Linked DNA regions of Arabidopsis thaliana. The protein of the gene in region 1 interacts with the protein of each later gene in a pairwise test. Each region holds a gene or a part of one and is shown on either strand. Other genes may lie near its edges.

Region 1 (3,757 bases):
TAAATGATGTCAATAACTTAATAAAAGAAGTGGGAGCGTCCATGTTGGGGCATACATGAGCTCAGAGAGACCACGTTTCATATCCTTCTCTGCTAAAGCCGTCCTCTCAAGCAATTTCCTGCTCTCCTTTTTCATCAAGTCTACAGACATGTTTAACTCCTGAACATGCTTCTCAGCTTTCAAGAATTGTGCCTGAAGCGACGATGATTTTGAAGTGGATGTAAAAATAAGGGAAGGGACACAGACCAGGGCAACTAAGCATAACAACGTTAAGAAATAAATTTGAAGCTGGTATAGTATATACCTCTTCGCTCTGAAATCGGCCTAGTGTATTACGAAACAAGAATCTTCTTGGGCCTGTAAGTCGAACAATAGAAAACCAAATTCATACAAGACACATATAAGTAAAACAGATGTAATACCATTTGGATGCTCCTACGGGAAGGAATCTTGTAAGTTGTAAAAGTGATAAGAGAGTAGAGGTTATACCTCGCATCAGAACGAGACTAGCAGCGACACCAATCCCAATAGCAGCAGCCGGATGCTCTTTTGCGTATATCAATTCGTCTGCGAGGATAACAAAAGCAGCAGAGGATACGAGGATTGATTAATCGGAATGACATGAAGATTCTAGTTTCAGAACACTATAAGATGCACTACAAGTATATATAAAAGTTTTGTGGCAGCTATCTGTTATATCTCAGTTTGATCTAAAATACTCGTTCCTAAGCATTACAGTAGTCTACCAGTATAACTTTTTCACGAAAATTGGCTGCAAGATACCTGTAACTTTACTGAAGAAAGCATTCTCATAGGTCTTATACTGAGTCAAAGCATGTGGAATGAAATCCTGCAATTTCAGAATCAAATGTAAGATTGTATGAGAGAAGACGAAGACATATACATACATCTAATGGAACTGTGATTTCAGCCAGATAGGGTCTACTCCATATCACACATCATTAAGCTACATGAATATCTGATATCATATAAAAACATTGTTTAGAGAATAATCAAGAATGCCTCAGCGATACATTACAGTCTTCTAAACAACCATTTGAAGCAGAATCAGAACCCAGGAAGAGACTAAGATCATTGCCAATAAGTTATAATGGTATGATTCAACAAGATTTTACCCATATGAACAAAAACTAGCACCATTCAATACATAAAACTGCTAATTGGAGAAATATCTGTTCTGAATCGAGCTCATTTCTAGAAATTATAGCTTACGAGATACTAAATTCCACCATATCCATGGTTTGAAATCCTGAAAATGTTTTTTGGTAAACAATCTCGATTCGCAAAAATTGTTTGGTGAACAAAAGAGAGATTAACTAACCTGTATAGAGCGGAACTGAGAGGTAGAATTTTCACGGAGGGAACGAGCAGAACGCATTGCGGTATCCTTCGATTCCTTCACCGTCCGTTGCAAATCACCCACCCATTTCTCTGCTCCTTCTATGGCTCCTTCCACCGATTCAACCACTCCGATCGCTGTATGCTCCATCGCATCAGAAACAGTTTCAGTCTCAATCGCTGGAGCCGAATCATCGGTAACGCCGGTTGCTTCGGTTTCGCTCATCGTCTCCGATTTGCCTTTCTCGCACGGAGACAACGCCTTTTCTCCTTCTTTCAACTTCAACCGGTTCGATTCGGTTCAATTTGATTCCAAATTAGAAGTTGGTTTTAAATGGTTAAGATAGACCCGGCTCCTTTATATATCAGTTTGCGGTTAATGGGCTTTAAGATTGGGTCTGCGAACTATACATTACATTCCCTTTTCTTCGTCTTCATCTTCGTCTTCCTTTCCTCCTTCATTCCTCTTTTCTTCGTCTCCCACCATTTCTGCAGAAGAAGACAAATAAAAAAGCTCTCATTTATCTTCGTGGAGATCTAAAAGAAGGAGGAAGACATTTCTTCCCTCTGGATCTCCAAAAGTAAGAACATTTACAAGGTTTGTTTTTGTATTTGTTTTGTTTTAATTACTCCATGAGAATTGAGAGTTTTCTTTTCATGGATTAGCCCTGATTTCTATTGTTATCTCTTTATAGAGGCAAATTTTGGTTGATCTGTTTATTCGCATTTGCATAGAAAGCTTGCGTTTTGTTGTCTGAAACTTGAGCTAATGATGTTGGTGAAGATGATATTATCCTCTTTTTAGTGAAACTTTTGGGAATACCATTCTCTTTATTTAGATCTGATGAAACAAAGGTCGAAACTTTATAGGTTTGCTTCTTCATGTTTTTTTTTTTGTTGTTCTTCTGGTTGTTTCAGAAACGAGAGGTTTGGGTGGGGAAGGAAAGAAGGAGGAAGAGGCAATGTCAGCTAGGTATTGGTGTCACATGTGTTCACAAATGGTGAATCCAGTTATTGGTGCCGAGATCAAATGCCCCTTTTGCCAAAGCGGGTTTGTCGAGGAAATGAGCCGTGAGATTAATGGCGGCAGCAGTAGCAGTCTAAGGGAGGTTCAAGACCCTGAGATTGATTTTGGTACAGACCGTGCATTGTCTCTATGGGGTCCAATCTTGCTTGGAATGATGAGTAATCCTCGTAGACGTAGAAGGTTTAGGAGGACAGAGTTTGGTGTGGATAATGATGAGGTCAATGTATCTGATGATGTTGATGGAAATGACAGCGTCGATATTGATCGACATCATCATCGTCGTCATCGCCACAGGCAACAAGGTAGAGAGATTGATTTAGACAGAGAGTTTGAGTCTATCCTTAGGAGGAGACGGAGAAGCTCAGCTACTATATTGCAGTTGCTTCAGGGTATTCGTGCAGGGATTGCTTCTGAGTATGAGAGCTCGGATCGAGACCTGTTAAATCAATCAGCTGTTGTTCAGGGTTCAACGAGTTTGAATCAAAACCGGAACAATACTTCTCTTTCTGCAATTGGAGATTACTTTGTTGGATCCAGTTTAGACCATTTGCTTGAACATCTAGCTGATAATGATTCAATCAGGCACGGGAGTCTTCCAGCACGTAAAGAAGTTGTGGATAATCTCCCAACGGTTAAGATAAGTGAATCATTGCAGTGCTCGATTTGTTTGGATGATTTTGACAAAGGAAGTGAAGCTAAAGAGATGCCGTGTAAGCACAAGTTTCACATCCGGTGTATAGTACCGTGGCTCGAGCTTCACAGTTCATGTCCCGTGTGCCGATATGAACTCCCTCCTGATGATGAGACCAAGGTTAATCCTGTAAGACCGAGAACAAGAACTCTAGAGATCAACGTAAGTAATGAGAATGTGGAAGATGATGCAAGGAACAGTAATGTGAGCGAGAGAAGGTTCTCTTTTCCATGGCCGTTCAGCGGATTATTCTCTTCATCCTCTTCGTCATCCGCATCGGCCTCGGGGTCATCTCATCTCGGTGAGAACTCGTAAACTGCTATTCCTCAGCTTATAGTACATAAAATCTTGTTCACTCAGATTGTTGAATACTGCATAACAAATAAACACTTTCGAGGAATGGAATCTTTTCTTTATTTGTATTATAATATCTGATGATCATTTGGGTTTCCGTTAAAAGTATCCCTTTTAATTTAGTAAAATATAAAAAGATGAACACAGGTATTTATGTTGAGAGGGAGAGGCATGTGACTGTGAGTATGGTTGTTGACTGCATGAATCGCATTATCTCCAAATACGAATCCCAAAGTTGTGTGATCACGAGCCAAATGTGATCACACATTTTTGTAAAATATATTCAAAAAATAGTCTTTGTTTATGCAATTGCACTCGTACCAAAC
Region 2 (3,757 bases), on another chromosome or scaffold:
GCTGAGAAAAGGGTGAACGATAAAATCATAAGCCTGAAAATAGATTTAGCTGGTATGGAGTACAAAACAACTGAAATCTTTGGACTGAAGTGAAAAAGGGACCAGACTCCATTCAAACATGAAAAATACAACTAATGATCGGGTTCAAACTTACTCCGGTATAGTTCTTGAAGCTCCTCTGTGCTGCTGTAGAAGCACACTTGGGGAGAGTGTTAGTAAACTGCACAAGTAAAATCAAACAAGATTATAAGAAAAACATCATAAGATTAACCAATGCTTGAAATTAAAATCAGACACAGGATGTAATTGTGAAACCAACATTTCTCAAAAACATACAGTTGATTCAGACTCGTGCAATATGCTCCCATGACCGAAAACTAGATAAACAAAGAAAGTAAAATATAAAGAACACAGCCTTACCTGCCCATTGTGAATGAGAGACACCAATATGTACTTTTTGTACGCCTCAAGAGCTATGGCATTGACTTGATGCATAGGAGCAGTCACAACCTGATACAAGTACTTAGGTTGAGTTAAAACTAAAACGAAAGTCCTTAATGTATAAAAAGCACGTAAGAAAAAATAAAAATGCCTTACATTGTAAAGAAGCTCTAATGCTTTCTGAAATCTCTTCAGTCCAATACAAATCATTCCCCTATCAAAAGTCCAGGTAATCAAGGACCAGAATAAGAAAATACTATAAAACAAACCCAACAGGGATGGATTTAATGTGTTTACACATCTATTGATCAAAGGAAAAAAACAGATAGCAATGAGGAAAAATTGCTTACCCATAATAGCTATAGAGAAAAAAGTCTCTTGGCTGGTCAATCTCCACGATATCATCACTAAGAATGGAGAAACCAGATTTGTACGATTTCGCCTGCAAACAGAGTTGAAGAACATCTGGATGCAATGCAGTCAAACGCTTGGAGGAGACCTGAAGCTTCTGAACAGCGTTTAACAGTGGCCCTACTCCTCGCAACGGATCTCCCAGTGCTATAACATGGTCTTTCAATATCTTACAAAGAGATACAACTGCAAAATCAATATAATAACATCATCCATCTCCCCAAAGAAAAAAGAAAAGAAAACACATTAAGACAAGATAAGCTCTCATTAAGTGTCAGTAAATTACATTTATAGCTCGCCAAACGAATCTGCCCAGCATCACAAGAATTGATGAACCGTGCAATTATCGGTATCTCATAAGCAGCTTTCTCCTTCGACACTGGACCACAGGTAAGAACCTCACTGTAACAATCAAACCATACAAAAAACTCAAAGATCAGAAATCGAATAACATAGACAATTCTCCTTGTTAAACTTCGACCTAATCACACACATCAAGTTCCAATAACCAAAATCATCAATCAGCCTCAAAGTATACACAAACTAGTAACAAAAACCTAATCTACCAATAGGTTAAAACTCACAGGAAATACAGGTAACCGAGAGAGTGCTTCGAGGCGTCGAGCTGGTCAAGAGTAGAGAAATTAACACCTGGTTCGGCTCGGAGCGAGTCTTGAGCTCCTCTCAAAAGATCGTGAAGTGCAGATAAATCCTCTGGACTCCCCGATAAACCTTGGATTGACGTTATCACAGCCTCCACCGAGTTCACAGCTCCGATCATCTTCGATACTAAGACGAAAACACAAAAACCCTAATCGATCGCCCTTTTTCTCCCTCTCAAAATCTTTTGCTAAACTGTTTGTTTAATTATCTCTGGATCTTCTCCATAAAAATACATGCTCTCATAATATATATACGAACCCTCCGAACGGTTAAGAGTCTAATACATTACTCTAGAATAATAAACCAATATCTAACCGGCTTTTAAACCAAATATTCCCGGTTCGAAATGTACCAGATGGTAATTGTCGGTTTAGCCAGACCAATTTCGGGGATGGCCTTTTATCATTCGTCTTTCCAGAGAAAGAACGAGATTGCGATCACAGAGTGTCAAAGCAATCTGCTTTTTCTCCTCTCAGATTCAAAGGTTCTCTTTGAAGCTTCGTAGGTGGTTATACTTTGATGGCGGATTATCATTTCGTGTATAAGGACATTGAAGGAGCGTCAACTCAATGGGATGATATCCAGCGGAAATTGGGGAATCTACCGGAGAAGGCTCCGGCTTTCAAACCTCCGGCGTATACTCCGGCGGAAGACGAGTCTTCAGCTCCTAAGGATCAGGCATGGTTTGATAAGAAGACAGAGGAGGAGCTTGAGGATCTTGAGGACGACAAAGATCTCGACGATGATCGCTTTCTCGAAGAATACAGGTTCGTAGATCGAATCGAACATTCTGATTTTTGTATTTACAATCTTAACTTTCCCTGGAGAATCCTTGCCTTGGTGGATTGTGAATTCAATTTTCTCGGATCTGTTGCCATGTAGCTAGGGAATGCAATTATCAAGCTCTGGTTTTTCTCGATTCGTTTGTGTTTTGGATATGAATGCAATTGAGGGTAGTATCTTATTTGAGATGTTGATGAATAGGCTAAACATAATTGTGCAACACACTTCATGATTCACAGGCACTAATGTGTTTTGATGCTTTCATAGGAAGAAGAGGTTGTCTGAGCTAAGAGAGGCTGCTAAAGTTAAAAGATATGGAACAGTGACTCCCATCTCGGGCTCTGATTTCGTGAGGGAGGTTACGCAAGCTTCTGCTGAAGATTGGGTTGTTGTATGTCTCTATAAAGATGGGTATGTTTTTTCAAGTATTCGTGAACTCTTGTTGAGCCATTCTTTACTACATGCTTGAAACACTATTAACTCATGTTTATTTCTTGTTGTTCTCTGATAGTGTTGCAGAATGTAGTTTGCTATTGGGTTGTCTAGACGAATTGGGTAGTAGATACCCAGCAACAAAGTTCGTTAAGATAATATCTACTGATTGTATTCCGAACTACCCTGATTGCAATCTTCCTACCTTGCTGGTGTACCACCATGGCGCCATCAAAGGAACTCATGTAGGCTTAAAGAGCTTTGGCCGTAGGTGCACCCCAGAGAGTAAGTTTGAATGAACCCTTGTTTGTCTGATGTAATCTGTGCTTATTTGTGTTTGATGATTATGTCATGTCTCATCTCTAGCCTTTGTCTGATCTGAGACCTGATGTGACCACATTGGCGATTGTATCATGCTTTGAGCAGATTGGTCTTAGGCACATGTCTAACATACTTGCAACTGATTTGGTTTTTCAGGTGTAGCCTTACTTCTGTGTCAATCAGAGCCAGTTCTTAACGATGGCAAAGGAGGAGACGATGACTCCTCGAGGGAAGCTGTGATGGCTGGAGTTCGAAGACAGTTCATAGAACGAGTGGTGAAGGACCACGAAGATAAGGATAACGATGATGGTGGTTACAATAGTGATTAGAACTTCAAAGCTTCTCTGTTTATCTCTGTTGGTTATTGCTTGTTGAGTTGGTGACTGGTAAACAAAAGTGCTGACTTCTTGTGTGATGTAATGTTTTTTAAACATTTTGTAACTTTTGTTCTTTTGAAAGAGACAGGAACTTCATGTTGTTTTTTGATATCCAGGTATCACATGCCGAATTTTAGTGCTGGATCTAAGCCTGTGAATCCATGTAAGTTTAGAATAGTCTTTGTTTTGGACAAAGTAATAATCAAATTTGGAGAATCTCAAATCAACTGAGATGTTTTAGTTTTCATTCATGTGCAACTCGAACTACTTCACAGTTCACAAATATACTGCAGATACCAAACCCAAGAACTATAAACATCCCCAACACA
Region 3 (3,757 bases), on another chromosome or scaffold:
TAATACTAAATCCCTAAACAAAAACTATACACTGGATTTAACAATTCCGATAGTACCATTTCCATAAAAATAACTCATAACATTTTACTAATTAAACAAAAACTATACACTAGTTTGACCCCCCAAAAAATAATTTCTATACTAAATTACTAATACACATAGGAATCTAAAACTAAACAAGAATTTCAGTGGCTAATTAGTTCCTGAACTAATGTAATGATTGGAAATTGAAATTGAACCTGAGGAGCGATGAGGATGAAGCCATGAGAAGAGACATGCAACATAAGCTGAGAATAGAAGGAGTTGTAGAGAAGGTAACCATGGAGGAGCATCACCACCGGATAATCTCCTTCCTCCACCGGCGTAGCCACCAACAGCTGCTTTGGCGGAGACGGTGAAGCTCTAGAAGACGGTGTTATTTTGCAGCAACGAGATGATGAGTCCAAGGTTAAGAGATTTGATTTGTATTTGCCATCTTCAAAGGCGTTTCTTGATGAAGAAGAGGACATTTTTTTTGTTCTTTATTAGTTTTTCTTTTCTTTACTTTTTTTGTTTGGTGGGTTCATGAGAATGAGGTGAGTAGAGATATTATTAAAAGTTATAAGAAGTATGGCCGTTGAAATCTTGGTTAATTTTAAAGAGCACATAAACAAAATCAAATAGAAAAAAATTACTTATGTTAAATTACTTATATTATTGGGGTTGGTGTAATGATAAATCTTCCAGATGTAGATATTGGATTAAACGTCTGTTGAAAAGAATCTATTTTCTAAAGAATATAAATTTAACTTGTGTCCCATCTCTAAAAAATATAAGACCTTTAAATTTAAACTTCTAAATATTTTTTTTTAAAAAACAAATCAAATAGAAAGAAATTACTTATGTGTGCATGGAATATAACAACTACAATCATAAGGCCATATATTCATAGTCTATTTTCAGTATTGAAACCTGATTTTTTCTAATTTTGGGTAATAAATTTTATGAAGTCTTTTTATTATAGTCTAGTTAAATTTCTCTATATTTAAACAAAGTCAGATCCTATATATATGAGATTTTTTGGAATTTTAAAAAATATTTAAATTCAAACAAAATAATTGGAGATTTGAATTTTTGTAAGAAAGTTACTTTGTGTTTCAGATTAAATTTAATAATAAATGGTCAAAAGATTTATGACTAAGAAGTATTAAAAATTAAAATATAGAAGAGAAAAAAATTGATATGATATGATATGCTCTTAGCAAAAAAATAAATTGATATGCTGTTGCTGGGTACAAGGAATGGGCTTTGTACTTCATACTAGACTACTTTTTCTCTAGTCCAATTTAAAAAAAAAAAAAACATTATATAACATTCGAGACTAATTTAAAGTGTTAAACGGCCCAATTTGTATTACACGGCCCAAGTTAAAGTGTTAAACATTACCTCATTACCTATGTACGATTTGTGGAAAAAAAATATATATACCTATGTACGATTTTGGATTACATTTTTTTTTTCTAGTTAAAACTAATTTCAAGTTTGAAATATAAATTATATATCTGAATATAGATCATTCTAGTTCAAATCAGATGGAAATATATGAACCTCAGAAAATACAATATCATACAAATGAGCCAATGTTTTGGTCTTATTCATTCATGATCATTGTGGCTCGAAAACGGTTGTTTTTTTCGTGCAAAAGAAAAAATAACGATTTTTTATTATTAGAATTTCGAAACCAGAATTAATAAAAATTAGGAGAAAGGAAAATAATACGAATTAAAGTGATCGTACACGTGGCTATCATCGACGGAGGAAATAGCCATTTATTTATCTGATCTTCATCACTCTGATGAGTCTGAAATCAAAAAAGCATTTACACAACGAAGATCATTAATGGCTCTCGAGGTGAGTTCTGATTCATAGGTTCTAGATTCTGATTTCGAATCTCGATTCGTTCAATAGTGATTATCGTTGCTCTTTCGGAATTATTTTGGGGATTTGATTTGATTTTGGCAGAACTGAGAATTGGGATTTGATTTTACCGTTTTGCAGCTGAAATTGAAAATTGAATCAAAAGTTTTTTCTTGAGATTTTTTTCTTTCCCTGAGGCTTAAGTGTTGATTGATGCAGGCATGGTTTATGGATGATAGCAATGAGGACCAGAGACTTCCTCATCATCGTAACCCGAAAGAACTCGTCTCGTTGGATTACTTGGCAGGTCTTTTCAATTCTCTACCTTAAAAATTACTCTTACTTTGCAACTTTTGAAAAACATCAATCTTTCATGCTTTATTGTATTGAGTAGTGATTCTACATGAGGAAACTAAACGTAAACCGTCTTAAAACTAAGGAAATGGTCAAATTTACCCAAGATGAGATTTAACAGAATCATAAATTATGCAAATATCACAAATATAGTTGTTGTGTTTTGTAGAGTTGGGAGTGTTGTACTGGAAGTTGAACCCTGAGAACTACGAGAATGATTCTGAACTTAGCAAGATTAGAGAAGACAGGGGTTACGATTACATGGTACGCATATTATCTCTTCCTGATCACTGTTTTTTCTTAACTTAGGAACACTCATGCTCATCATAAATGCCAATTGAATGTCTCTGTTTTTTAACTTGTTGCATATCGTTGCATGTTGATCTCATGAGATTAACGATTGTGACATATACTAGACACAGTAGGAGTGTAGGACTACATAATGAAGGTAGTACTCAAACCTTACAAAACCAGCCTATGAAGAAAGAAGCCTTATGAGTATTAGAGTACAGGATTTGCTACGGCTTATGTCTTTCTGATCACCCTTTTTTAACTCATGCTCACCATAAGCGGCTATTGATGTTTCAGTTCCTTTACTTGTTATCTCTGCACGCTAATCTCATGAAAAAAAAAAACATGTATCATAGGACAGTAGGACTATAATCTTGCATAACCATTAAGGGGTAGTATGACTACAAACATTTTAGAAACCAGCTTATTAAGGAAGAAGGCTTCTCTGTAATTGAGTATTAAGGGAACATTAAAACGTTTGGTTTACGTTAAAAATAATTAAGCTATTTGTGTGGTGTGTAGCATTGTAACTTATGAGCTATAAACTAATTTTCTCAAGCAGAATGATTACTTTGGTTAATCTTCATTTTAGGATTTGCTGGATCTGTGTCCCGAGAAAGTCAGCAACTACGAAGAAAAGCTGAAGAACTTTTTCACAGAACACATTCACAAGGACGAAGAGATTCGGTACTGCCTAGCAGGAAGTGGCTACTTTGATGTTAGGGACAAGGATGATCGTTGGATCCGTATCTGGATGCAACCTGGCGATCTCATTGTCCTTCCTGCCGGAATCTACCACCGGTTCACACTCGACGCCAGCAACTACATCAAGGTACAAAAAGCCAAACTCAGTCTCTATACTAATTTACTAATTTATATGAATACGCAAATGAAATATTACATCTTAATATCTTATGTTAAAAGATTTGATTGTTGGTTTGTGATGTATGGTGGTTTGGTTTTGCAGCTAATGAGGCTGTTCGTGGGGGAACCGGTTTGGACACCATATAACCGGCCACAGGAAGAACATCCTGTTAGGAAAAAGTATATCCACGGCTTAACCTACAAGTTTGGAGAAACCGTTAAAGCACATTAACAATATTAATATATGCTTGTTGTGTAATTTGTATGTATTGTTTACTCTTTAGTCTTAAGCAGTAAAATAAAAACAGCGGCTCCTTCTGGATAGTTGTTCTTGTAACATACTTTTGCGATG

The links.
Region 2: the proteins of AT4G26410 (region 1) and AT5G14240 interact in a two-hybrid assay, tested with the Arabidopsis thaliana proteins (one large-scale study listed by BioGRID).
Region 3: the proteins of AT4G26410 (region 1) and ARD4 interact in a two-hybrid assay, tested with the Arabidopsis thaliana proteins (one large-scale study listed by BioGRID).

What each region holds. Positions count from the first base shown.
Region 1 is NC_003075.7:13,344,588-13,348,344, reverse strand, and holds the start of AT4G26410 (chromosome-associated kinesin), read right to left. Parts: upstream 1,692-3,757; 5' UTR 1,586-1,691; coding exon 1,343-1,585; intron 851-1,342; coding exon 784-850; intron 568-783; coding exon 490-567; intron 358-489; coding exon 305-357; intron 193-304; coding exon 56-192; intron 1-55. Other genes in the region: AT4G26400 (RING/U-box superfamily protein), read left to right, coding at 2,322-3,392.
Region 2 is NC_003076.8:4,595,846-4,599,602, reverse strand, and holds AT5G14240 (Thioredoxin superfamily protein), read left to right. Parts: upstream 1-1,894; 5' UTR 1,895-2,034; coding exon 2,035-2,282; intron 2,283-2,565; coding exon 2,566-2,709; intron 2,710-2,809; coding exon 2,810-3,015; intron 3,016-3,207; coding exon 3,208-3,380; 3' UTR 3,381-3,675; downstream 3,676-3,757. Other genes in the region: COP13 (Proteasome component (PCI) domain protein), read right to left, coding at 1-1, 155-220, 421-510, 598-655, 792-1,038, 1,139-1,254, 1,437-1,633.
Region 3 is NC_003076.8:17,627,244-17,631,000, reverse strand, and holds the start of ARD4 (RmlC-like cupins superfamily protein), read left to right. Parts: upstream 1-1,637; 5' UTR 1,638-1,878; coding exon 1,879-1,890; intron 1,891-2,115; coding exon 2,116-2,203; intron 2,204-2,419; coding exon 2,420-2,514; intron 2,515-3,133; coding exon 3,134-3,373; intron 3,374-3,508; coding exon 3,509-3,637; 3' UTR 3,638-3,757. Other genes in the region: CLH2 (chlorophyllase 2), read right to left, coding at 240-509. UniProt on the Arabidopsis thaliana protein: Catalyzes 2 different reactions between oxygen and the acireductone 1,2-dihydroxy-3-keto-5-methylthiopentene (DHK-MTPene) depending upon the metal bound in the active site.